Linked DNA regions of Tamandua tetradactyla. The protein of the gene in region 3 binds, or shares a complex with, the protein of the main gene of each other region. Links are inferred from orthologs where the notes say so. Each region holds a gene or a part of one and is shown on either strand. Other genes may lie near its edges.

The links.
Region 1: PPFIA1 (region 3) and ERC1 share a complex: the UniProt entries of both Homo sapiens proteins name them as parts of the cortical microtubule stabilization complex. The link is inferred for Tamandua tetradactyla from reciprocal best matches to the Homo sapiens genes PPFIA1 and ERC1.
Region 2: PPFIA1 (region 3) and PPFIBP1 share a complex: the UniProt entries of both Homo sapiens proteins name them as parts of the cortical microtubule stabilization complex. The link is inferred for Tamandua tetradactyla from reciprocal best matches to the Homo sapiens genes PPFIA1 and PPFIBP1.

What each region holds. Positions count from the first base shown.
Region 1 is NC_135333.1:63,459,312-63,466,615, forward strand, and holds the start of ERC1 (ELKS/Rab6-interacting/CAST family member 1), read right to left. Parts: upstream 3,016-7,304; 5' UTR 2,910-3,015; intron 2,872-2,909; exon of another isoform or gene 2,751-2,871; intron 1-2,750. UniProt on the Homo sapiens protein: Regulatory subunit of the IKK complex. Probably recruits IkappaBalpha/NFKBIA to the complex. May be involved in the organization of the cytomatrix at the nerve terminals active zone (CAZ) which regulates neurotransmitter release.
Region 2 is NC_135333.1:90,538,128-90,545,987, reverse strand, and holds the start of PPFIBP1 (liprin-beta-1), read right to left. Parts: upstream 3,016-7,860; 5' UTR 2,797-3,015; intron 1-2,796. UniProt on the Homo sapiens protein: May regulate the disassembly of focal adhesions. Did not bind receptor-like tyrosine phosphatases type 2A.
Region 3 is NC_135335.1:4,371,055-4,378,540, forward strand, and holds the start of PPFIA1 (liprin-alpha-1), read right to left. Parts: upstream 3,007-7,486; 5' UTR 2,917-3,006; intron 1,564-2,916; coding exon 1,297-1,563; intron 1-1,296. UniProt on the Homo sapiens protein: May regulate the disassembly of focal adhesions. May localize receptor-like tyrosine phosphatases type 2A at specific sites on the plasma membrane, possibly regulating their interaction with the extracellular environment and their association with substrates.

The sequences.
Region 1 (7,304 bases), on a different chromosome or scaffold from region 3:
AATACATCACACTCCCCTACTTTTCCTCTTAACTGAAAGGACTCTTAAATCTCCTTCGGTGGAATGTATCAACAAAGTTAGTTTCAAGATGGTATGAACTTTTGTCAGTTCTGTTCAATGCTGAATCCCCAATACCTAAAAAAGTAGCTAGAATCATGCTCAATATAGCTATTGAATGAATAATTGAATGGATAAGTGCCCAAGGCTCAGATATTGGGATCTTTTCTCCAGCTAAATTTACTCCCTGGCTATCGATCCATCTCATAACTTTAAATACCATCTATAAGTTGACAACCAAATTTTTCACTTCATCCTAGACATCTCCCTTAACTTATATCTCTCCTCAGATGTGCTCCCCATTTTTGTGTCAAGTATGTATTTTATTTCATTAATTTCCCTCAAAGTTGATAATCAATGTATTGATAATTTGATTAACCAAAATGCCTCATTCCCTGATCTTGTTCTGATAATCAAGGTTTCCAATACAATGTGTAAAACACACAATAAAGTGCTCTTACACTACTTCTAAAAGCATAAATGTGATATAGAAAATGAGCGGCTATTGCTATGAGAATCTTAACTTTTGAGGTGGCCAGTATTAATGCTGAATTAACAGACTGACATATTTATATGACTTTAGTAATGAAGAATACAGAACATCTCAGCAGACTCGGAGACCCAAGGATGACAGTAATGACTAGCAAGTGACACTTTCTTAAAAAATAAAATGTAGTCTTTTTTTCAGGCACAAGGAATGTGAAACAGAAATAGGTCAATTTCACCTTAGACTTTCCCCCAAATCTCATGATCTCATTCCCACAAGGGAAGACTCACATCCCACTGTCAGACATTCAAATGTTATTTTAGCAGTACACACCCAAAAGTTTTACCTGGTATCTTAGTTCCCATTTGCCCTCACACATACCCAATTAAATTAAAGTATAATTCAAAGGCCAAAACTGTATGTGAATTTTAATTTTTCTAAGTAATCCAAAATCAAAACTATTCAGTGTATTAATTTGATCTCTCTGAATATAGCTATTTAAATCTCTTATTTATAAGTATACATTGGACCACACCCTTTCTCACTAAATAGCTATTATATCGTATATGCTCTTATGTGTTTCCCATAAGTCTTCACAAGCAGAAGTATTTGCTAGAAGATATCCGTGTTCTGCTCATTAGCAGGCACTTAGAAAAAGCAAAGATCTGCAACTATTGAAACTCTGTATATTTCTCTCTTGGGTTACAGGACAGCACTTCTCTGGCTACTTTCCCAAATAAACTGGTTAAGGCTTGATAAAGTCATTGCTAAATTCTTTCATGACAGTTTCTCTTCCTCCATAAATGAATTAATGAGAGTTATGCCTGCTTCCACACAATACATGTCTATCACAGGATCTTTTTTGTGAGCAAGAAATAGTTCAGGTGATACAAAACTAGCAAATAAGGTCAGCAAGTACTTGAACCGAATAAGGAGCAAGAATCCAGAAAAGAAGATTCTGTTTTACTATGTCGAGTAAATTGTGAAACATGGATGTGAACAACACTGTTTACTCTTAGTAATATCTATTCATGAAGGTGACAATATCCCAGAATGTTATTAAAGAGCATTTTAAAAGCACATGGCTCCAAGGACATTTCTAAGAAACTCAGGGGCCTACCTAAAAAAAAAATTCCATTTCATTTTTAAAGTGCATAATGAAGACGATATACACACATGCAATTGAGAAATAAAAAGTCTCCATTAATTGGTGTTGAACACAAAATGTCAAAGTCTACTAAAAAAAGGAGCTGTAAAAGACAGCTGAGCTTTAAAAATTTAAGAATTTTTCAAATTATTCATTTTGAAAATGAACCGTTCATTTGTTCATTTTATTCACTCAGTACACTCAACCAAAACCACCTGCAACTATTACTCAAAAATGTGTCTTCCAATGCAACTACCTGATCCTAAGGCCTTCTCTTAAGGGACCAGGTAAAAGCTTACAAATAACGTAGTATAAAGAGATCTTTAGGTACAGAAAAAAGAATGGATGACAATCCCTTTAAGGATCTAAGCGTAATGCGACCTATTCCCTAATGGTTGCTGCCAGAGTGAAGTTGTTTAACCCAAGATCTCACTCTTTTTTGGGTATAAAACTTCAGCTCTACCCACACCCACTAGTTACCCACCCCAAGCCAAAGCAAAGGGATTCTCTTCCCTCCCGGACCCTACCTCTTCAACCCCCATTCCACAAGGAGAAAAAAAAGAAAAATAACCAAAACCCTAAAGGAGAAATGTGAGATCATGTGCCATAGCTTCTCCAACTGCCTCAGAGGCAACATGCACAGTTAATCTTTCTGTTGAAATACAACCTTCATCTCCTATCTCACCATTTAAACATACATACACACTCAAAAAGAATCCTCACCTTCTCCAGTATTTTATATCGGTCACCTAGACCCAGATCTACTCTGACCGCACCCCAATCTCGTGGCTCACCAATTTCTCCGTCTCCCCACAACCTCGCCCTCAACAACACGCCTCATTAACCCTCCACCCTCGGTTCTCCAAGTGCCTAAAGCCCCCATTTCCCACCTTTGGCCCGGGTTCTCCATATTATCGCCTCAGCTCCCGCCCAATCCCGGAGCTCAGCCGGGCGGAGCCCGCCGGTGGGCTAAGGTGGGTTAGGGTGGGGTCTGTCAGTCCCCAGCCTTCCCCATCCCCCCGGTGGGAAAAGGAGGGGGAAGGGGTCCAGAAGCCTCACCTACAGCTCCGCCCCTCCCCGAGGGCGCTCAGCCCTGCCCTAGCCAGGGCCGGGAGGAAGAAGCCGGGTAGGAAAAGGCAAAAGCCTCAGAACAAGCGACAGACGGGAAGCTCTAGGTCCCTCCTGACTTCCGAGCTGCCACTACCGCGGCCGTCTCACCCTCCTATGAGCTGCTCCGCTGCCACCCAGGCTCCGACACCGCCGCCGCCACCACTGCCACCGCCGTCGCCGCCGCCGCCACCACCACAGCCACGGCACGGCCCAGGCGCCCGCCGACGTCACGCGCCCCGCCCCCTTCGCGAGACACCTAGCCCCGCCCCCAACCCCCCGGGCAGCTGGGCTCCAGGAGCGCCTCCTCCCCCTGGGTCTACCCTCTCTGCCTTCGGAGAGCGGGTCCCGCGTCCTGCAGGCCTTCAGCGCCTTCTAGGGGAAGGTGGGTCAGGGAAGAGGAAGCCGAGGTGACTCAGGGCTATGGCGGGACTGGGCGCCGAGGCAGAATAACGGGCGCGGAGCATACACACGTACACACACACCCTACACACGGCTTCCGAGGCCGAGCACCAGGAAGAGGCGGTAGGTGGGAGTGAGGGGAGGCGGCGTTTGTCTCCTTCTGCTTGCCGTAGGAAGTGGATCGCTTGGAAGCCAGAGAATTAGAGTCTCTTTCCCAAACCTTAGTCGCCCCACCCCCTCCTCTGCGGAGCCCGTTACACAAACCTCGGGTCAGTCACAGTCTTGGGGAGCAGCTCTAGGATTGTCAGTTGATTGACGGCTGCGCCCGAACTCCTGCAGTGGGTACTGTTTATCCAAGGGAAGTTGGATTTTTCCGCCCACCGCCCTACTTAATTTCCTTGGCTTTTGCGAAATGTTGTCGCAGGAGGTAGTAATACGATCTGAGAAATTTGAAGCTGTGTTCATGGCCCTAAGGAACGAACTTGGGCATCGCAGAAGACCCACGCCAGTGCAAGTCATTTTTCCTCCTAGTTAAGCCACATAGACGAAGAGAGCTTATGCGGAAATTAAGGTTCACATTCTGTCTCTGCAATGTGCCAAATACTGTGCTATCTTAACGGTTTTATTTCGTTCTCCCAGCAACTCCGAGGGTCGACCAGACACACCCGATACCGTATTTCAGGCAACTAATTTGGTTGTACAGAATTGTAATCGTTTTTCTTTTGTAGGAGCAATGCAGAGAGATTAGCTGCAGCCATTAATTTCAAGATGTAGGTAAACTATATCAGAACCAGAAAAGTAAAGATGGTGGGAATTATATTTATTCCCAGCCCTCCGGTGTTTATTAAAATAATTTTAAATGCCCTTGAGATGAGAGGAGTTAAAAGTCATCATTTTACCCCTCATAGTCCCACATCTCTCCGCAGTGTTTGCATTCAGTCACTCATCAAATTTACTGTTTCACCCTGCCCAGGCTCTCTGATTGTTCCCTTCCGGGATCACCATACACTTGGATCTTTCCAGTTCTTGGCCCTGCTGTTCAGTTTCCCCCTTCAGTGCATCCAACATATGGCTGCCAGTTGTCAGACTGTGTGCTGCCAGAGAAGGAGACGAGATAGCCACTAAATAATCATCCTAAAATATTTCATTCTCTTAGAAATCAAACTTTTTACCTAGGAAAATCCATCCTTCTTTGACTATTTTTCAAGGCCTTTATCATCTGACCCTCTGCTCATCCCAACAGTGTGGTGAGGTAGAAAAAAAAGTAAATTCTGAGTCAAGTTATCATTCTGGTTTCTCTTCAGCCCTTGCCTACCTGTGTGACCTTGGGCCAATTACTTTACTTCTGGGTTCTACTTTTCTCAAATGTAAAAATGGGATTTGCATTAAATGTCTGAGATCCATCATATCCCCAGAATGTGTGGCTCTGAAGAGTTAAGAGCTAAGCATTCTTTTATAGTGTAACCATGTGATTGTGAAAACCTTGTGACTGACATTCCTTTTATCCAGTATATGAACAGATGAGTAAAAAAATGAGGGGAGTAAGTAAATAAATTATAGGGGGAAATAAGGAGTATGTGGCATTTAGGATATTCTTTTTTATTTTTACTCTTTGTTTTTGGAGTAATGAAAATGTTCAAAAATTGGGGTGATAAATGCACAACTGTATGATGATATTGTAAATCATTGATTGTACACTTTGGATGATTAGATGGTTTGTGAATATAGCTCAATAAAATTGCGTTAAAAAAGAGCTGAGCACTAAGTTACATACAGGAACTCTGTCATATCACAAAAAAAAAATTATTTTTATTTATTAATTTTTTTGCCACTGCACTGGTGGTTTTTTCTTATTCCGTTCCCTGCCCCAGATACCTTGTTTTTGGGGTGCATGGTCCAGGAATTGAACCCAGGTCTCCTGCATGGAAGGCGGGCATTCTAACCACTGAACTACCCATGTACCCCCCAGATACCTTTTTTAAATCTACATTTATGATTTTTTTATTAAAACTGGCTATCTGAGTAAGTAGATGCATTTATTGCCTCTTCTTCCTAAGACCCCATTAAATTGTTACAAACCCACACAAAATAGAAAATAAGAAGACAGCCATTAGAAGAAGGAAATTTTTTTTTTTAATCTTAACATACAGAAAGTGTTAAGCCAAATGGGGGAACCATAATGTAGAATGGATACTGCTGCCAAGGACTGGGTCCTACCAACAAAGTAAGGTGCTTTAGAGAGTTTGAGGTATAGAAGTACCCACAAGTAGACAGCAGGAGCAAGAAGCAGGGTTGAAAACAGGAGATTAAATGTATGCATATCAACCAGGAGAACACCACTACCACTACCACCCTCCCCGTAACTCAGAGGCAATGGCAAACATTTGTCCCAGGTTAGAAATTCAAGCGTTCTAACACTCTTTAAGGAGATCTTGACAGCTTTTTTTTTTTTGGCATGGTCTCTGGGTGAACTTCATTTTTTTTCTTATTTGTAAAATATAACATATATATTAAAAAGCATAAATTTCAAAGCACATCACAACAATTAGTTGCAGAACAGATTTCAGTGTTTGGTATGGGTTACAATTCCACAATTTTAGGGTTTTACTTCTAACTGCTTGTTCTAGTTTGCTAGCTGCTAGAATGCAATATACTAGAATCAGAATGGCTTTTAAAAAGGGGGAATTTAATAAGTTCCCAGTTTACAGTTCTAAGGCCGAGAAAATGTCTAATTAAAACAAGTCTATAGAAATATCCAATCAAAAGCATCCAGGGAAAGATGCCTTGGTTCAAGAAGGCTGATGATATTCAGGGTTTCTCTCTCATCTGGAAAGGCACATGGTAAACACAGTCACAGTTTCTCTCTCGGCTGGAAGGGCACTTGGTGAGCAAGGCATCATCTGCTACTTTCTCTCCTGGCTTCCTGTTTCATGAAGGTCCATAGGAGGCATTTTCCTTCTTCATCTCCAAAGGTCGCTGGCTTGTGGGCTCTCTGTTCTCATGGCTATGTCGGTCTCTGCTCTCTTTGAATCTCCTTTCTCCAAAATGTTTCCTCTTTTATAGGACTCCAATAAACCAATCAAGACCCACCCAAATAGGTGGAGACATGTCATCACCTAATCCAATTTAACAACCACTCTTTACTAAATCACGTCATCCAGGGAGATGATCTGATTACAGTTTCAAACATACAGTATTGAATAGGGATTATTCTACCTTTATGAAATGGGATTTTGATTAAAGCATGGCTTTTCTAGGGGGCATACATCCTTTCAAACCAGCACACTGCTCTAAGATACTGGAGACTAAAAGAAATATCTATGCAATGAATCAGCAATCATATTCATTTTTTAAACCCTAAATTCTCTCTATAACTCAACCATCACCTTTAATCTTTTTCCCACTCTCTAGGGATATTTCAGCTATGCCCACTCCAACTTTTTTATGTTGGAAGGGACTGTCAATAATATGGGATAGAGGGTTGGAACTAGTTGATGTTCTGGAGAGGCTGGTCGCTCTGCACTTCAGAAGTTGTAGGTTTCTAGAAAGTTACCCTTAATGCATGGAAGCTTTGTAGAATCTTGTATAATGCCCTAGCTGTTCTTTAAGATTGGCTGGAATGGTTTTGGTTGGGGTTGGCAAACTATGATAGGTAGCAATGTCTGACTGAAGCTTGGTAAGAGTGACCTCCAGAGTAGCCTCCCCACTCTATTTGAACTGTGTCAGCCACTGATAGCTTATTTGCTACACTTCTTTTTCCCATTTTGATCAGGATGGCATTGTTGATCCCAGGGTGCCAGGGCTAGGCTCATCATCCCTGGAATTCATCTTCCACACCATCAGAAGGACTTTCACCCCTACGTTGGTATGGCGTGTCCCACATGGTGAGGGGGGCAATTATTTCACTTGCAGATTTGGGCTTTGAGAGAGAGTGGACAACTTTTATGGGTGCTAAAGAGTAAAGCATTCTTCATTCTGGCACAATAGCTGGTTTCCTAACAAATGATTTTGGACAAGTTGGCATGACCCTCCCAAGTTCACATGACTTATAATCAGCATTCCAACTGCCTCATTAAATATGAACAGACACCCAGGGATCATTAG
Region 2 (7,860 bases), on a different chromosome or scaffold from region 3:
GACTGCTGAGTGTTGATTTTTTTTCTTTTTAATTTTAGGACCAATGACTTTCTAGGGACATCTCAGTAATTTTTTTTTAATAATTATTATGCACTTCCTCTTGCTTATGTTTTCACCTTATAGCAGCATTTCCATAATGAAGAATCAGGACACAGATCCAAGCAAGAATAGGATATTCATTCATTAACTGTTTTGAAAAGGTAACTCAAACCAGGCCAGAAACTGCAATAATATTTTTGAAAAGATAGAATGCTCAACAAGGTCTTCTCTCAGTTAACAGCTGGAAAATCAAGCTGTTTAGGATGTAGATAATAATTTTTTAAACCGGAGATGAAAACCTCAGTTATTTTTAATGTAACAAATTATTAACATAATGTAAATTAACTAGAAAAATACAAATATTTTATGAATATGAAAGCTAGTCAGTAACTGAGGGGGAGAAAATGACCTTGCTCTATGCACTGCTACAGTAGTGACAAAAGATTATGTAAACAAACTAACTCCCTCAATGAACTTGTTTCCAAAGACTGTCTATGATGCCCTTGTAATTAAACACTACTGACTTGAAACTACAGTGTATCCTGAGATTTCAAGCCAACATTTGTCCCTAAGGGCCAGGTTATCCTAATTATTAAAACAGCTACTGCAATTATAATAGTTGCTGGTCAAAGAGAATTTAACCAAAGCCTGGTCACATTGTTCTCTTTCAAGTTTTGTTCTTTGAAAGTACCATGTTTTATTATACCACATCTGCCTCATAAACACAGAGTAAGAGAAATATTGGTTCAAATTAATTACATAAACTTAATGTTATTACTCAAACTGAATGAAATTTAAAGCTTTGATATATTGTTTCTTAGGGTAGAACTAGCTTCTTGGAAAGAAAGTATCAATCAGAATTTGGCCCAGCTACATAACCTTCTGAAAGCAGTCTTCAGTTGACTGGTTTTTGCAGCTCCATTCCTCAGTTAGACCGACTAGCATTTGAACACTCCATCAGCCAAGGTTCCAGTGAGCTCACATTTGCCCACAGGAATTCCACATCACCTCATTTTCTTTCCTACTGAAAAAGTACACTGGAAAATACAATATGTTTTAGTACTTCCTATAGTACATAAATAGAAAAGACTTGCTCTGTATTACTTCAGAATCATTAGCAATTTCTGTTCATTAGCCCAAAAACACAACCCAAAATTGAAATGTGCTCACTGTTCCACGAAGCACCTTCCCTTTTCAAAAAGCCTGCTCTTTATCCACTTTACGCTATTTATTGTTTTCAGGAATGAAAAGCAGTAACAATAACTAATAACAAGACCCACATGTTTTATAAACAATAGCGAAACAAGATCACTTTTTTTTAGTTCTGAAATCTAATTGTCATCTGGCTAGAAAGATGAAGAACCCCACCCATAAAGTCCCCTATCTGCACTCTTCCTGACTTAGGTTTATTAGACACAACGTTGGAGCTTCTTTCTTTCCACATCTCCTAGAACTGCCCTTTCCTTCAGGCGTCTGGGATATAGCTTTTGCCTCACAATGAAGTCCATGCCCATTCCTACTGACCTGGCGACTGGGGGATCACCACTATCTAAGCAATTGCAGGGAAAGAAAGGGAAAACCCAACTCAAGAGTCTCAGTCCATACTGGTTTTTTTCTTCTCCAAAATAAAGAACCTTAAGCACTGACTAAAGGTTCTCAATCAATTTATGTACAAACACACACACACACCACCAAAAAAGTCAATCACACCCATTCAGTGCCCTGGACACACAAATCTGCAAGTAGGAAAAAGGAAAAAAAAGGTTTGAAACAGGAAATAAGCAATCAATTAAAAATCAGAATTCTAGTCTTTCACTTCTCAAAATAATCCTTTTCCCCCAGACAGGCAACTGCTCTCCCTAAATACCAAACTTGGACTTTTAAATCAAAAGAATTTTAAATCAAGTTCTTTTTCTATTGCCATTTGCAGTTCTTGTTGAAAGGAAGGACTTGTTCTGGTCCCACAAGTTGGAAAGTTCATGTTCCTATAATTAAGAGTTTGTATGCCACGCCTTCCACCACATTTCCCTGTTAAAATTCCCTTCTCTAAAAATGCTCCCTGAAAACACAACTACAGCCCTCATTCTTTTCTCAAGCAACCACAGGAAACAGATCTGAAGATTCTCAGCAGCTTTCTTAACCCCTCCAGATCACAAAGTTGGCAACTGAAAGGGATTCTCTGTTAAAATGTAAGCACGAATTAAAAAAAAAAAATTGTAAGCGTGAATAAGATCTGAAGAATTGGTGTTTTAGAGGTGTAACCCCCCCCAAGAAACCAGTTTTTCCCACAAACTCATAATACACCCCAAATAAATTTCTCACATCCTGCCTGGAATATATAAAGGGATGGTTTAACGCTGATATTCTTTTATTTATATTGGTATATAAAAGGCCATGGGCGAACTGAAAATACACACACAAAAAAAAGTGTTTTTTTTTTCTCTCAAAGACCATAATATTTGAATCACTGATCCATAAACACTTCTCTGATTGGGGTTTTCAAATACTATTGGGAGACCAGGGTGTGGGGAACACAGAGGAGACCTTACATGTCCAATCCTGTGGTATTTTTCACATATAGGCTAGTTCGAAGCCACCACCACCCCGGCCCCCCAAAGTGCCCGTTACCATTGGGAAACAGGAGAGTTGGAAAAGGAAATTCAGCCTGGGAAGAGGAGGGGCAGCTGCAACACCCAGCTGCAACCACACAACGGTGCCACTTTCCTCCCGTCCCCAAGTGGAGCAAAACACCCTTACCTAGAGGGGTGGTGAGCCGCCGGCACTACTTCCAAAAGTTGTGGTTCACCTTCCCTCGGAGTTCAAAGTCCCAGCACTCCGTCCCCGGCGCAGGCTCGCCCTACACAACTCCTCTGCCGTCGCGCTCCAGCCTTTCCCCACCCTCTCTCCCCTGCACCATGTCAGGAATCCGGGCCAGCACCGCGCTGGGAGCTGACATCACTCCCAGTTCCAGGTACCTCCCCCTCCCACTGTCGCCTTCTCTCCTCCCTCCCTCCAAGAATTAGCCAAAGAGAGTTAGCAAGGGCGGGGTGGTGGCAGCGCCTGGGCTCCGGCTGATTGGACCCAGGGAAAGTCACTCAGGGGAGTCAACTTATTTTATACATTCCTTGCTGAGCGAGACTTCGGCTGGAAGTGGGTGTTGATGGAAAAAAAATGCTGCCTTCCCTGCTATCTCTAAAGAATGGAGATAATGATACAAGGAAGCCCTTGCAGATCGAGTTTTAAACTTTCTTGGCATATTTACTATATGCCAGATCAGAAACGAAACTAAGCCCCCTTGTTAAGGGGAAAAAAAAAATGCCTCTGTCACGGGCAAGTACGATTCCAGCGGCGCGTGGTGCAGAAAATGGCTTGCTTTACTCATGCAAATAAAGGAAAACGCCAGCTCTTCATTCTCCCCTTTTATCTTGGGACTGGTGGGTGTTCCCTTAGAATGAGAACGTGGAACTTCAAAAGCCTTTGGAAAGATTTGAAAGTGAATCCTAGAAACGGCGACTCAGCTCTGAATTGTTCACTGGTGGCGGCGTTATCAACCATGTGGCTGCTTTTCTTTCAGCAATAAAATCACACCACACAAGCTTCCAAGCAAATAAAATTGAACCTCTGGGGTAAGAAAAAAATTACTACCTACCTTTTTAGGGACTCTACTGCTGTTTTAATGCCTAACTGAGAGGGGGCAGGAGGGATGGGAATGGGGACACAATTCATTTCAACAAATCACATGAGAATAATTACACTTCAATAGAACCTATTGGAGTAGCTGAACTATCAATTAAGAATTAGCTGACATTGATCTTTGACGGATATCATGCTGTATAATCCCCTTGGCTTATAAACAAAAAGATTCCCAGGAGAGGGTTCTTTCAATTTACATAATAGCTGCTTCAAGGCAGAACTGAATGGTGAAAAGTGGCTTTATCTGTAAGGTAGCATACTATCTACCTATCATTTTGAAGTACAATGAATTACTTTTTGGTGCTATTTATTTTTTTAATTGATGACAACACACCATATATTTCACCATTCTGCCAAAAAAAAATTGTAGAGGGACAAAAGCGTTGGCAATGTGTATTATTTAACCCTTATAATCATCCTTGTTACCTCCATATTAACAAGGAATCAAAGGCTCAGACAGGTTACCTAACTAAATTGCCCCTGTTCACCCAGAACTGGAATGGAAACAATGTCTGCTTGTCTCCAAAGGCATTTTTTCTTTTTATATCTAAAGTATTGATTATCTATACCTCTCAGACACCACATACTAAAAAAAAATCTACAGACCCAGGCCACTGCTGTCACAGACCTTATTTTACATTATTACCATCATGTTTTCTGTTCAGACTTACACTATCCCAAACTCCTAACCTACATTTCTTACTCCACTTTTCCCCATCACTAATTCTTTATATGCACCGCTACCAGGTGAGTCTTCTAAAACAATGTTTGGTTTTGTCATCAACATCCTCCCCTCCAAATCTGGTCCCCCTTTCCCTGCGACTCTTTTCTAGCCATTTAAAACTCTCCCTAATTTGGTATCTATTTACCTTTCCCATTTTATTTCCCACTTTACTCTGAGAAACCCTCTGCTGCAGACTAATAAGGTCTACTCAGTTCCATGCTTGGTTCTCACCTTTTGGCCTAACTGAATACCCACTCTTCCATGTAGTTAGTCCCACCTTTCCCTCAAAGCCCAGCTCAAGTCCTTGTCCTCCACCATGCCCTGGCTGTGTACTACAGTAGACAGAAATAGGGTTTTGGGTCCATCTCCCAGCTCTGCCTCTTAGATCCTGTGTGGCCTTGGACAAGTCACTAAACCATTCTGAATCTCTATAAAAATGGGGCTGATGATACTACAAAGGTTATGGTAAGCATTATTGAGATTGTACAGATGTGTAATACATGGTAATATATGTCTCATTATACCCATTTCATGTCTTCCCATATCCTGAACAGCAAGCTCTGTGCTTAATAACCTCTTTCTATTCCTTATGCCCATTTCGTGGAAAAGGCCAAATACTAAAGTGGGCTACAGATAATGGATCCTTATATCACTTCTAACTAGCCTGGATTCCTTAAATGCTCCCTGTCCTCACTCAAATACTCTCTTAGTCATAAACTTCAACTATCTTCTCTTTCTTTTTATGCTTCCACTAGAACCCTTCCCTTCCCCCAGCCTCTCACCATTCATTCAATGTAACTTCCTCAGATAATCTTCTGGACCAACCACCCATTTAACCTGTCCCTTAGAGTCACTCATAATTCCTCTTCCCTCACTCTCTGGGACACACTAGTCTATCAGTGCCTCTCGTCTGCCTTGCTCCCCAAATCCCTTCAAATAGCTGCTGGGTTGCTACCAAGCATTCCTCCAGCCCCAGTCTTAGGATGGCTGCATCTCACTCACAGCTCACATTCTCCAGAAACTACAACCAGCAGCAAGAGATGAGGGAGGGACTGTCCCACCCCCAAAAGGATGGCAGGATAGAATAACAGGAAGTCGCCTCCCATTCCCTCTGCAGCTGGAGTGATAACAGCTGCCATCGGAGTTTAAAACACAAAAGACTTGAGGAAAGCTGAAAACAGGGAAGTCTAGAGCAGTAGTGCTCAAATCAGGGGTTACGTGGTAGGGGTGAAAAAGGAACCAATGGGTGAGATTTCAAGCTCCCTTCCCCTTCTCCCTTTAATCAGAGTTAAAGTAGCTTGGCTCCTACCTGTTTTACATCCAGCCTTTCCCTGTCATGTTTCATTTTAAAAAGTGGTTCTAACACTTAAAAAAAAGTATATTAAACCACTGGCCTCTGGGTCTCTTGAGGAAACTCCAAGGGATCAGGACACTGTAGCAGAAGCAAGACAGGATACCTGATGGGCAGCTGAAAAGTTAGCAAAAGTACACTGCAAAAGCAGGAGAAAACCTGCACAGAATAACAAAGGCAGAACTTGAAATGGGCCCTAAAGGTCATCTTGACCTTTTGGAGTGAGAACCCCTGCTATAGTATTCCTGACAGGGTGCCTTCTAATCCCTGCTTGAATTTATCTGACAGCAAGGAGCACACAAGCTAGGAAAGCAGCTCATCATTAAAGATCTTTCTCATGGCCAGCTGGAAACTGCTTTTCTGACTTTTTCCCCAAAGGCTCCAGTTCTGCCCTCTGGAAGAAGAGAGAAAAAGTTGGCTCCTTTTGTAACTTCATCCCCAACTTGTGTAAGCATGAAAACACAGTCCCTACTTAGTTTGTTTAGATGCTCACCCAACTCGTCAAGTTCATGTCATTTTACTGTCTATCTTTACAGGCTTCTGGGTGCATGCTTCTTAAGTACAGCCCAGATCACTCAACTCCTTTCAAAACACTTAACTGCCTCCCTCTTCCCAGAGAACAAAGCCTAAATTCTGGACTTGCATCCAGAATTTCCATCCCCATCCTCAACTTACATTTCTAAACTCAAAGTCCACACTTCCTCATACTCATACTACATAGCCATATTCTCTGATACTGTCTTCTCAGTTAAAGAATGACTTTTGCCTATTGCTTAGTGAGTTCAGAGTTTCTGTTTGAGGTGATGAAAAAGTTGGAATAATGATTACTGGTGATGTCAGCACAATATCATGAATGTAATTAGCACTACTGAATTTAGCACTCAGAAGTGGTTAAAATGGGAAATTTTGAGCTGTACATGTTCCTACAATAAAAAGTTTTAAAAAATGTTTGACTGTTGCCCTTTTCTTCACATCTTTATGCCCTATCTTCAAGGCCTAGTTCAAAGACACTTTTACCACAAGACTTCCCTGAACCCTTAACTGGAAGTAATAGCTCCCTCTCCTAAAACATAAATGACTTATTACAGTTCAAGGCAGATATGGGGAGTGAGAGTGTGGGCTTTAAAGAAGGTCAGGCCTGGTTTTGAAATCAGGCTGCAAGATCTCAAACCACTTTTTGAGTCTATTTCCTCATGCTGAATGTGAAGATGAATACTAAAAACCACCTCACAGGGTTGCTTGAGGATCTGATGAGGTATCAGACACAAGGTCTCAGGTTAAATTGTCTGACACATAATAGGTCATCAGTAAACAGATGTTCCTTTTTTTATGGCATAAAACAACTGTACTCTTATTTTGTGGGGGGCGGGGGGGGAATGCATGGTCCGGGAATTGAACCCGGGTCTCCCGCACGAAAGGTGAGCATTCTACCACTGAACCACTACTCTTATTTTTCACATGGTTTTTGTTCCTCACTCTGTTCTTTACAGTCCTTGATGGTAGAATACCAATTTGTTTCATTTTTACATCTTTATGGAGTCAAGCGTAATGCCTTGGCCTGTGGACACTCAATAAAAATTCACTGAATGAATGAATAGATGAACAAATGCTATCAGTTGCTTAAAACTCTTAAATCTACTATGAACTAGGTCTTCAGAAGTTCAAAAATACTAGACTGGAGTGATCACAATGGATCTGGCCACCTAAGATTGTTCTCATCCCAGTTACCACCAAACACAGACAGGGTTGGGCATATGGAATATAAATCATAAACCCAAATCCAAATGAAACAAGCTTAGTCCTGGAATTCCTTCTAAAAGAAACTGTTGCTTAGTCTGCCTGATTCTGAACATAGTGTCAGTGATAACAGGGACACCATTTTAATTGCCTTTACCTGGAAGATACACCTCTATTCAGCTATCACCACTGATATTATTCCCTTCTTGTCTGTGGAGACACGTTAGAAGTAGGCACAATATCTCACTTCAAGAAGACAGTCTTGTTTAATCATTCCTTTCTTGCAACCCAGATTTGCTGGTTATCTGATTATTCC
Region 3 (7,486 bases):
CCGCATGAGACTCACCCCCACTCTCTTTTATGTCCTTTGTGTACATTCTTTAAAAAAACACTTCACTATATGCAGCTCACATCACATGAAAACAAATACCATTATTAAAAAATACTGAAAAGAGTTTCAAATACAATAAAATACTAATAAAACATGATAATTTGGCCAACTCTTTTAGGTATATGATAATAAAATCTTATCTAAACAAACCTGGCAATTTAGAAGATTCTAACCAGAAAAAAAAACTTAGTGATTCTTCAATCCAACAAAAAAGGAATATATAGCATTAACATGAAAAACTAGTTGCTAAAAAGGAAATCCAAATGTTTAGCTTATCAATTTTTCAAGAGAACTGACTAGAGCCAAGAAACGCATTAAGGCTACTAATTATTAATTTATTAATTTACCACTACAGATTCATCATGAAAGTATAGATGTATGCTTATTCAGGTTCACCTTAAAGCACCATGAAGGCACACTCTCTGGCTAAATAAAACGGCACTTAGATATCTCAGAAACACCTAAGTAACCCACACTGCTCCAACTACACTCTGGGTGAGTCACTGTACACTTTTCTAGTTTTAACTTTCTCCCCATACCATCATTAAATCCTCATTCAATTTCACTAGAAAAGGCTTTGAAACTCGGATTCAAACGTAACGTACTTCAAGAGTAAGCTCTTCCACGTGACTTTAAGCTTTAGAATTCTCATCTGCCAACACAAAAATTACTAAGGAATCAATCTCTAGTCTTCCACCTCCAAAACAAGCAGGATTTACAGAACACAGGTGTTTTAGTAAAGGTGGGCTGTAAAAACAATTATTTTTCTGTGAAATTAATCCTATCTTCCTATTAACTTTCACAGGAAATTGAAATATACAAGATACAATCCATGGGAAATACACTTCTGTCAAAAACAAAACAAAACAAAAAAAAGTTCAAGAGACCTGAAAGTACCACAAAGCTTGACTGCTTCACAGTCCTTTTCAAAAACTTTTCAAGCACTTTCTCAAAAACTTCAGAGCACTTTCCCAAATCAGTTTCTTCTGTTGCACCAAGAACAGGATGACAGGCATTTTTACATAACTTTAAAGTAAAACAGAGTTTGTTCTCCTTGAAAAGTTTAATCCTCAGGAATTTACTTTCTACATCTGACTTCCAATCACCAGAAACTAACATTTCATGAGTAGTTAATTATACAAAATACACATCGAATGTATGAGCAGTGCCACCATTAAAAAAAGGAAACCAAGTAATGGGAAAAACCTATAGTGTTGCAAACTGAAAGCACCCTACCTGTGGAAGTGCAGTATTGAGCTGTCTCTGCAAGGAGTCTCTCTCATGGCCGACCTCATGCAATCTCCCCTGGGTTAGAGCCAGCGTCTCCTGCGTCTCCCTCAGTGTGTCTAGAAGGCGATCCCTCTCTTCCAGCATAGAGACCATTAACTGTTCGAAATGGGAATCCGCATCTGGCTGTGAAGGGGAACCCGATCCATGGCTCCCACCTCCTCCTGGGGGGGGGCCTTCGGCTTCACTGATGGTCGGCATCACCTCACACATCATCTTGAAAGAAGAGACCCAGAAGGCTGTTATTATGCATAAAACAATTACTGCCCCAAATCTGCTCCCTTATAGGTATCTGGAGCTAACAGATGAGAAGTGACCATCTCATTATTCTCAGATGTGATTGCTGGGCTTTCCCCATAAGCCGGGAAAACAGGCATGTGCAAATCCTAAATGCTGTGGCATGAGATGAAGACACTGACACAGACAATATCCCAGCGAAGGAGTAGAGACTGAAGAGAACTACTCTTCACATAAAGAATCAACCCTGTGGTATTCTGCTTGCAAAGCTGCTATTTTTGTTGTTGTTGTTGAAAACAAGCCTGCTTCTTAGCTGGTTTTTTGTTTTGTCTGTATTTCCCGGTGGGGGAGAGAAAGCCAAAACACATGCCACCTGATCATTTTTGCAGGAAAAACACAGAAGGAGCATAGACAGCCAGTAAAACTGACAAGTACAAAATCCATCGGGCATTTCCCAGGAATGTGTGCAGTCAGCTACTGGGAAGGACTGACGGCGCTCCCTCAAGTCTTGGGCTGGATTTGGTGAACAGTGAAAGGAAGTGGATTCCTGAAAGGCTGGGAGAGGTGTTTTTCAATGGCTACAATGGTTGGTCAATCAACCTAACTTACGTAAGTTTTCAGCACACGCGCGCGCGCGCACACACACACGCACAAAATTCCACAATGGAAATATAGCAGGTCGATATAGCCCTGGACGCTAGGAAGCGAGGGAAAGTGAAAGGTGAGTTTATGAGGCTATTAAGCGTCTCAAACATAACCACCGGGCGTGGGGGGGGTGGCTGCTCCTGAGGTGTCCGGACTGGATCCCGGGTCACCACCGTGAACCCCCAAAAGAGAGATGTCAGAGACAGCACACCCGACGGCGCTCAACCCCCTGGCGCTCCTTTCCCCTCCCGCGTCAGGTGCCGCAGCCTCCCCAGCCCCTGGGTGGCAGGAGCCACCCACAACGCGGGCCCTCCCGGGTAGGGGCTTCCAGCAGCCACAGGTCTTCGCCCCTCACGCCCACCGTGTCGCCGCCCCCGGAGTCTCTGCGGCCAGAGAAGAGGGCGGCGCGTCGCTCCGGCGCCCGGTCCCTCGGGGCGAGTGGGCGCGTCCCCCGGGGGTCCCGCGGGCGCTCGCCGCGGCGCTCCCACCCTGGCCCGGCGCCGCGGGCCTCGCCCCCAGCCCCGTGCGCACCCGGAGACGCAGACCCTTCCCCCGGGGCTGACATCTGAAGGGCGGCGCAGCCCGGCGGCACGGACGGAAAGGCTGCCCGCGCCGGGGCCCGGGGCGCGCGGGGACCACCCCGGCCCGCTGCGCCCCCAGCCCACCTCAGTCTCCCGGGTCCCTCACCTTGTCACCGGCGGGAGCGGGCGAGGAGGCTCCGCGGCGGCTGCGGGCGGCTGCTCGCTCCCGGCGAGCTCAGGGGCCGACGAAGGCAGCCCGCGGCCGGCGCCCGCCCGCCCGCCCGACTCCCGCGGCCCCGGGCCCGCCGCCCCCAGTCACTAAGGCCGGCCGGCGGCCGGACACTGGCGGAGCGGAGGAGGAGCGGGCCCGGCCTGCGCGTCACCGGCGTCAACGTGCCCGACGTCGGGCACGTCGGCGCGAGCGTCGGCGCCGGGGGCGGGCTCGCGGCACCGGCGACCCAATGAGCAAGCGCCGCCTGCCCAGGTAGGGGGCGGGCGGAGTCTTCCGGGCGTTGATTGGCTGGGCGCGACAGCAGCCCCGCCCCTACAAGCTCCGCCCAGGTGAGGGTCCCTGTGCGTACACGACTCTGGGATCCGAGCTCCGGGCTCAGCGCTTGCGGCTCGGGGCTCCCGCTCGCCTTCCGGGGCCGTGTGTTCGGCCTTGGGGCCGCCGATGTGTCCTCCCCACCCAGCCTCCGGGACACCCGAGGCCTTTGTGCGCGGCCGCTGCGCACCGGCATTTCCCGCTGGTCGCTCCTCCACTCACCTGGGTGGCGCGGGCGGCGGTGGGGTCCCCGTGGAGAAGCGACCCCGGGCTCCAGGAACTGCTCAGAGCCGGGGTCGGAGCCTGCGAGCGCCGCCTCCTCCGAACCTGCCCTTACCGCGCTCACAAGGACGCGGTTTCCACGCGACACTCCTGGATCGGGCTCTACCTGCCCTACCTGGGGAGACCCGGAGGCGCAGCGTGGCGCCGCGGGGAGAATGCGGGCTTTGGGGCGGCCACGCCCGGGTCAGCTCCCGCCCCTGGGCCCGGCCGCCCAGGGCAGCCCCTCTGGGGCTCGGCGTCCGGTCTCCCCGGTGGGGCAGTGATTCACACCCACCTGCCGCGGGACTAGTGGAGAGCCTGGCTGGGGCGGCCCTCGCCTCTGGTGGTCATTTTTACCCTTCTTTCTGCAGGTGTTTTTGAACGCGTGCTCTGTGACGGTCCTGTGCTGGCTCTTGCAGATGGATTTGATCTATAAAAGCAGGCGCTGCCCCTCCGGGTTTGACTCCTGGAGCGCAAACTTTGCGAAACAAATGTCAGGACACCAGTGCCGGTCACCGCTGGCGACTGTCCGGCCGTAGGAAGGCAGCCACGCCCCCCGACTGCGTGGGGTGGGGAGAAGAGAGCCCTTCTCTCGGGATTCCCGACTCTGAGCTCGCTGAGACAGGTGCTGCTTCTGACGTTCTTACCTCCCAGGGTCCAGTATCACACCTTCCCTCCATCTTTCCTTTCATTCGATAAGTGTGTATTGAGTGATTACACATAAATATGAAGTTTACCCCTGGTTCTCAGGTTGTTTTTGCAGACACCATGAAATGTGTGAGCTTCGACAATGGGAATTTACTACCTGATGGTTTGGGACCATGAAAATGTCCAAATTAAGGCACCATGAAGGTGATGCTTTCTTCCCAAAGACTATATGCCTGTGAGCTTTGGCTCCTCTGCCACGTGGCAGGACACAGTGGCATCTGCTGGTCTCTTCAAGGTCTCCTTGCTTTCAGCTTCTTCTAGGCTTTTTGTTTTTCTTTCTTGGTATTCATTCTGTTTATAAAGGACTCTAGTGAAAGGATTAAGTCCTGTCTTGAATGAGGTGGGACACACCTTAACTGAAGTGTAGCCTTATCAAAGGATTCTATTTGCAATGGGTCCACACCCGCAGGAATGGATTAGATTTAAAACATGTTTTTCTGGGAACAGACAGCTTCAAACCACCTGCAGGCATTCTAGCTCTCCTTAGGTGTACCGGCCTAATTCGTCCAACCCATAATTACACCTGGATGAAGATTTTGGGGGGCAGATGGAGAATGTGGTGCTGTCCAACCTACATCACCCTCCCTCCTTCCCCCTTCTTCTCTTCCTCCTTTCTCCTTTCTCATTCCTTTCTTTTTCTTTTTCAGCCTCTCTATTTCTCTTTTTCTTCCCTTCTCCTTTCCCTAAAAATAGCTAAATTAAATTAAAAAGTACCTGACTTGTAAGAAATAGGCACAATCACCAGAATGTGATTCAACAGGACAGACCCTCCGTTCCTGCAGTGAGCATTTGCCGAGCACGCGTGAGTGGCCTAGGTCTGGGGACAGGGCTCTACTTAGACATCTCCACCTCCTCCTCCACAGCCGGGAGGGGAAAAGGCGAATAAACAGACTATAATAGTGCCTGTCCCATAAACTGCATGTGAGCTGGTGTGCTGGGACCCTAGAGGAAGGAAGAACCCACCCACCAGCTGTCATCTCAGAGGCTTCCTGGAGGAGGCAACATCTGAGCTGGAGCTGGAAGGGTGAGTTTTCCAAGCAGAAGAGGGACAAACCCCTCTTGGTATACCTCCAGGAAAATGGAAATACCGGTTTTCATTCACTTTGATCCAGTTCATTTCCCAAATCGCAAAACCAGGAAGAAGAAAAAGGGCCAAGGGAAAGAGACTTGCACTGCAGCTGGAATTAACAGAATGCTTTGTGACATTCACAATTTAGGAAGCTAAGGCAGGCAAAAAAATGTATACTGTGCTTGTGATCTGTGTGTATAGTGTACATACACTAATATGTAAGCTATACCTTAATTTTTTTAAATGGGAAAAAAATTTAAAAAGCAAATTACAGTGTGATCCCAAATTTGAAAAAGAACGTATGTATAGATGAAGCTTATATTATGTAAAATTTATATATTCAAAGTCTAGAATGTTATTAAATAATATGATAAATTTTAAAACAATGAATCTATTTTATTAAATGAAATATTTTAGAAAAGTGAAATTAAAATGTAAGTCTCAGGTTTCTAAAAGAAAAGTATATATGTCTACATAGGGAAGCCTTTTATTGTATTCAAACAAATATTATTTTTTCCTAGAAATAGATACATAAGAATGTTGGCAGTGGTTATCTTTGAGTGGGACTGTGGGTAGTTTTCATTTCTTTCTGTTAGTCTGTATTTTCCAGATACTTTATTGAGAATGTGCTTTATTTTTATCAGTAAGTACAAAAATGAATGTTACTTTAATAAAATCTTGGCAAGAACGAAATATGGAGAGTTGCTTTTGGGAAGCTAAAATGACTTTTAAATGTAGTTATTTCTATACCACCCAGCTAAACTATACACCAGAGTTATTGATCTGAAAAGCATCTCCTAGATTGCATGTCATCCTGATAAGGCTCAGGAAAACCACAAAGATGGAAAATGATGTTTTCACCCCAGTTTTTCTGTTAAAGCCTTGAAAAAAGAAAATATGGGGAGAGGGGTGGTCCCAGAGAGTCTCTTACCAGGACTCAGGTTGTGCCGCAGAAGCAACAGCCTGGAATCCCAACCCCCTCAGGGGTGGATGGAAATTTAGATAATGTGGTTAGTTGTCAATCAGAAGCCCCACCAGGACCCCCAAGCAAGAGATCCCCCATAGAGGTCAGGGTGTGGGCCCTGCCCACCTAGAATTCTAATGAGTGGCCTGTTGACAGTGTGGGAGGGTCTCAGCCATAAGAGCCCGTGGGGGTGTGGCTGCTGATTGATTGGCCCACAGGCCCCCCACGAGCTGGGGACAAAGGTGGGACAGGAGCAACTAGACATCCAGCGCTCTTGAATTCTGGTCCATGTGCCAAGTTGTTGTGATCAAAGAATGTTCTCTTTAAGGGTCAAGCAAAGAGAAAGCATTTTATCCAGGGGGGCCCCAGGGTGGCCTGTGTAATCCAATCCCCAGGACAGGAGCTTTGGGCCCTGGGCTTCCCTGGCTTGGCTAAAGTATCCCTTAGGGTCTGAGTTTGGTTTCCCACATGTACCCCACTAAAGGAGAGATCTTTAAAGAGGAGAAAGGGAAAGAAAGAGAGCTAATGTTTTGTTTTTTCATCTCATTTAATTATTAAAATCATCCCCACACTGCTGTTCCCCTGTTTTCCCAATGTGGCAGAAGAGGAGACGAAGTTCTCAGTGGCCACCAAGCAGGGGAGCTGCCTGAGGATTCTGGTATCCTCCGCAGATAAGCCAATTCATTGAATTATTGGTCTATCAATGAGCCCGCCTTGAGCTCGGTTAATGCGTGTCTGTCCCCAGGAGCATGGACACCTCTGTGAACTCATGGGAAAATCACGTTTGCAGAGTAGTTTATCCTTATGACTTCACCAGATCCTCTAGGGATGAGAACACAGACTAAATTATGCGTCCAACACCTCGTAGCTCATAATTTGGGAGAGGGGGAAGCAGCAATTGAACCCAAGACTCACTGGCTCCAAAGCCCCTGTGTTCTTGCTGCTACACTGAAGTGGCCTTTCCAGGACCCCAAGCTGAGGTCAAAACCCCCAGATCAATGACCGGCCACCGAAGTACTGCCCCCTATGATGGCTGGGGCGTACGGATTGCCCCAGCACAATGCCAGTTTCAATGAATGCGCCAGCTCTGAGGGCTCTCGCCACCTCCTGCACTGGCACAAAGGCGTTTGCCTCATTCATCTGTGCAATTATAGTTTGAAGGAAATCGTAAACCTCCCGCCACTTGCTTT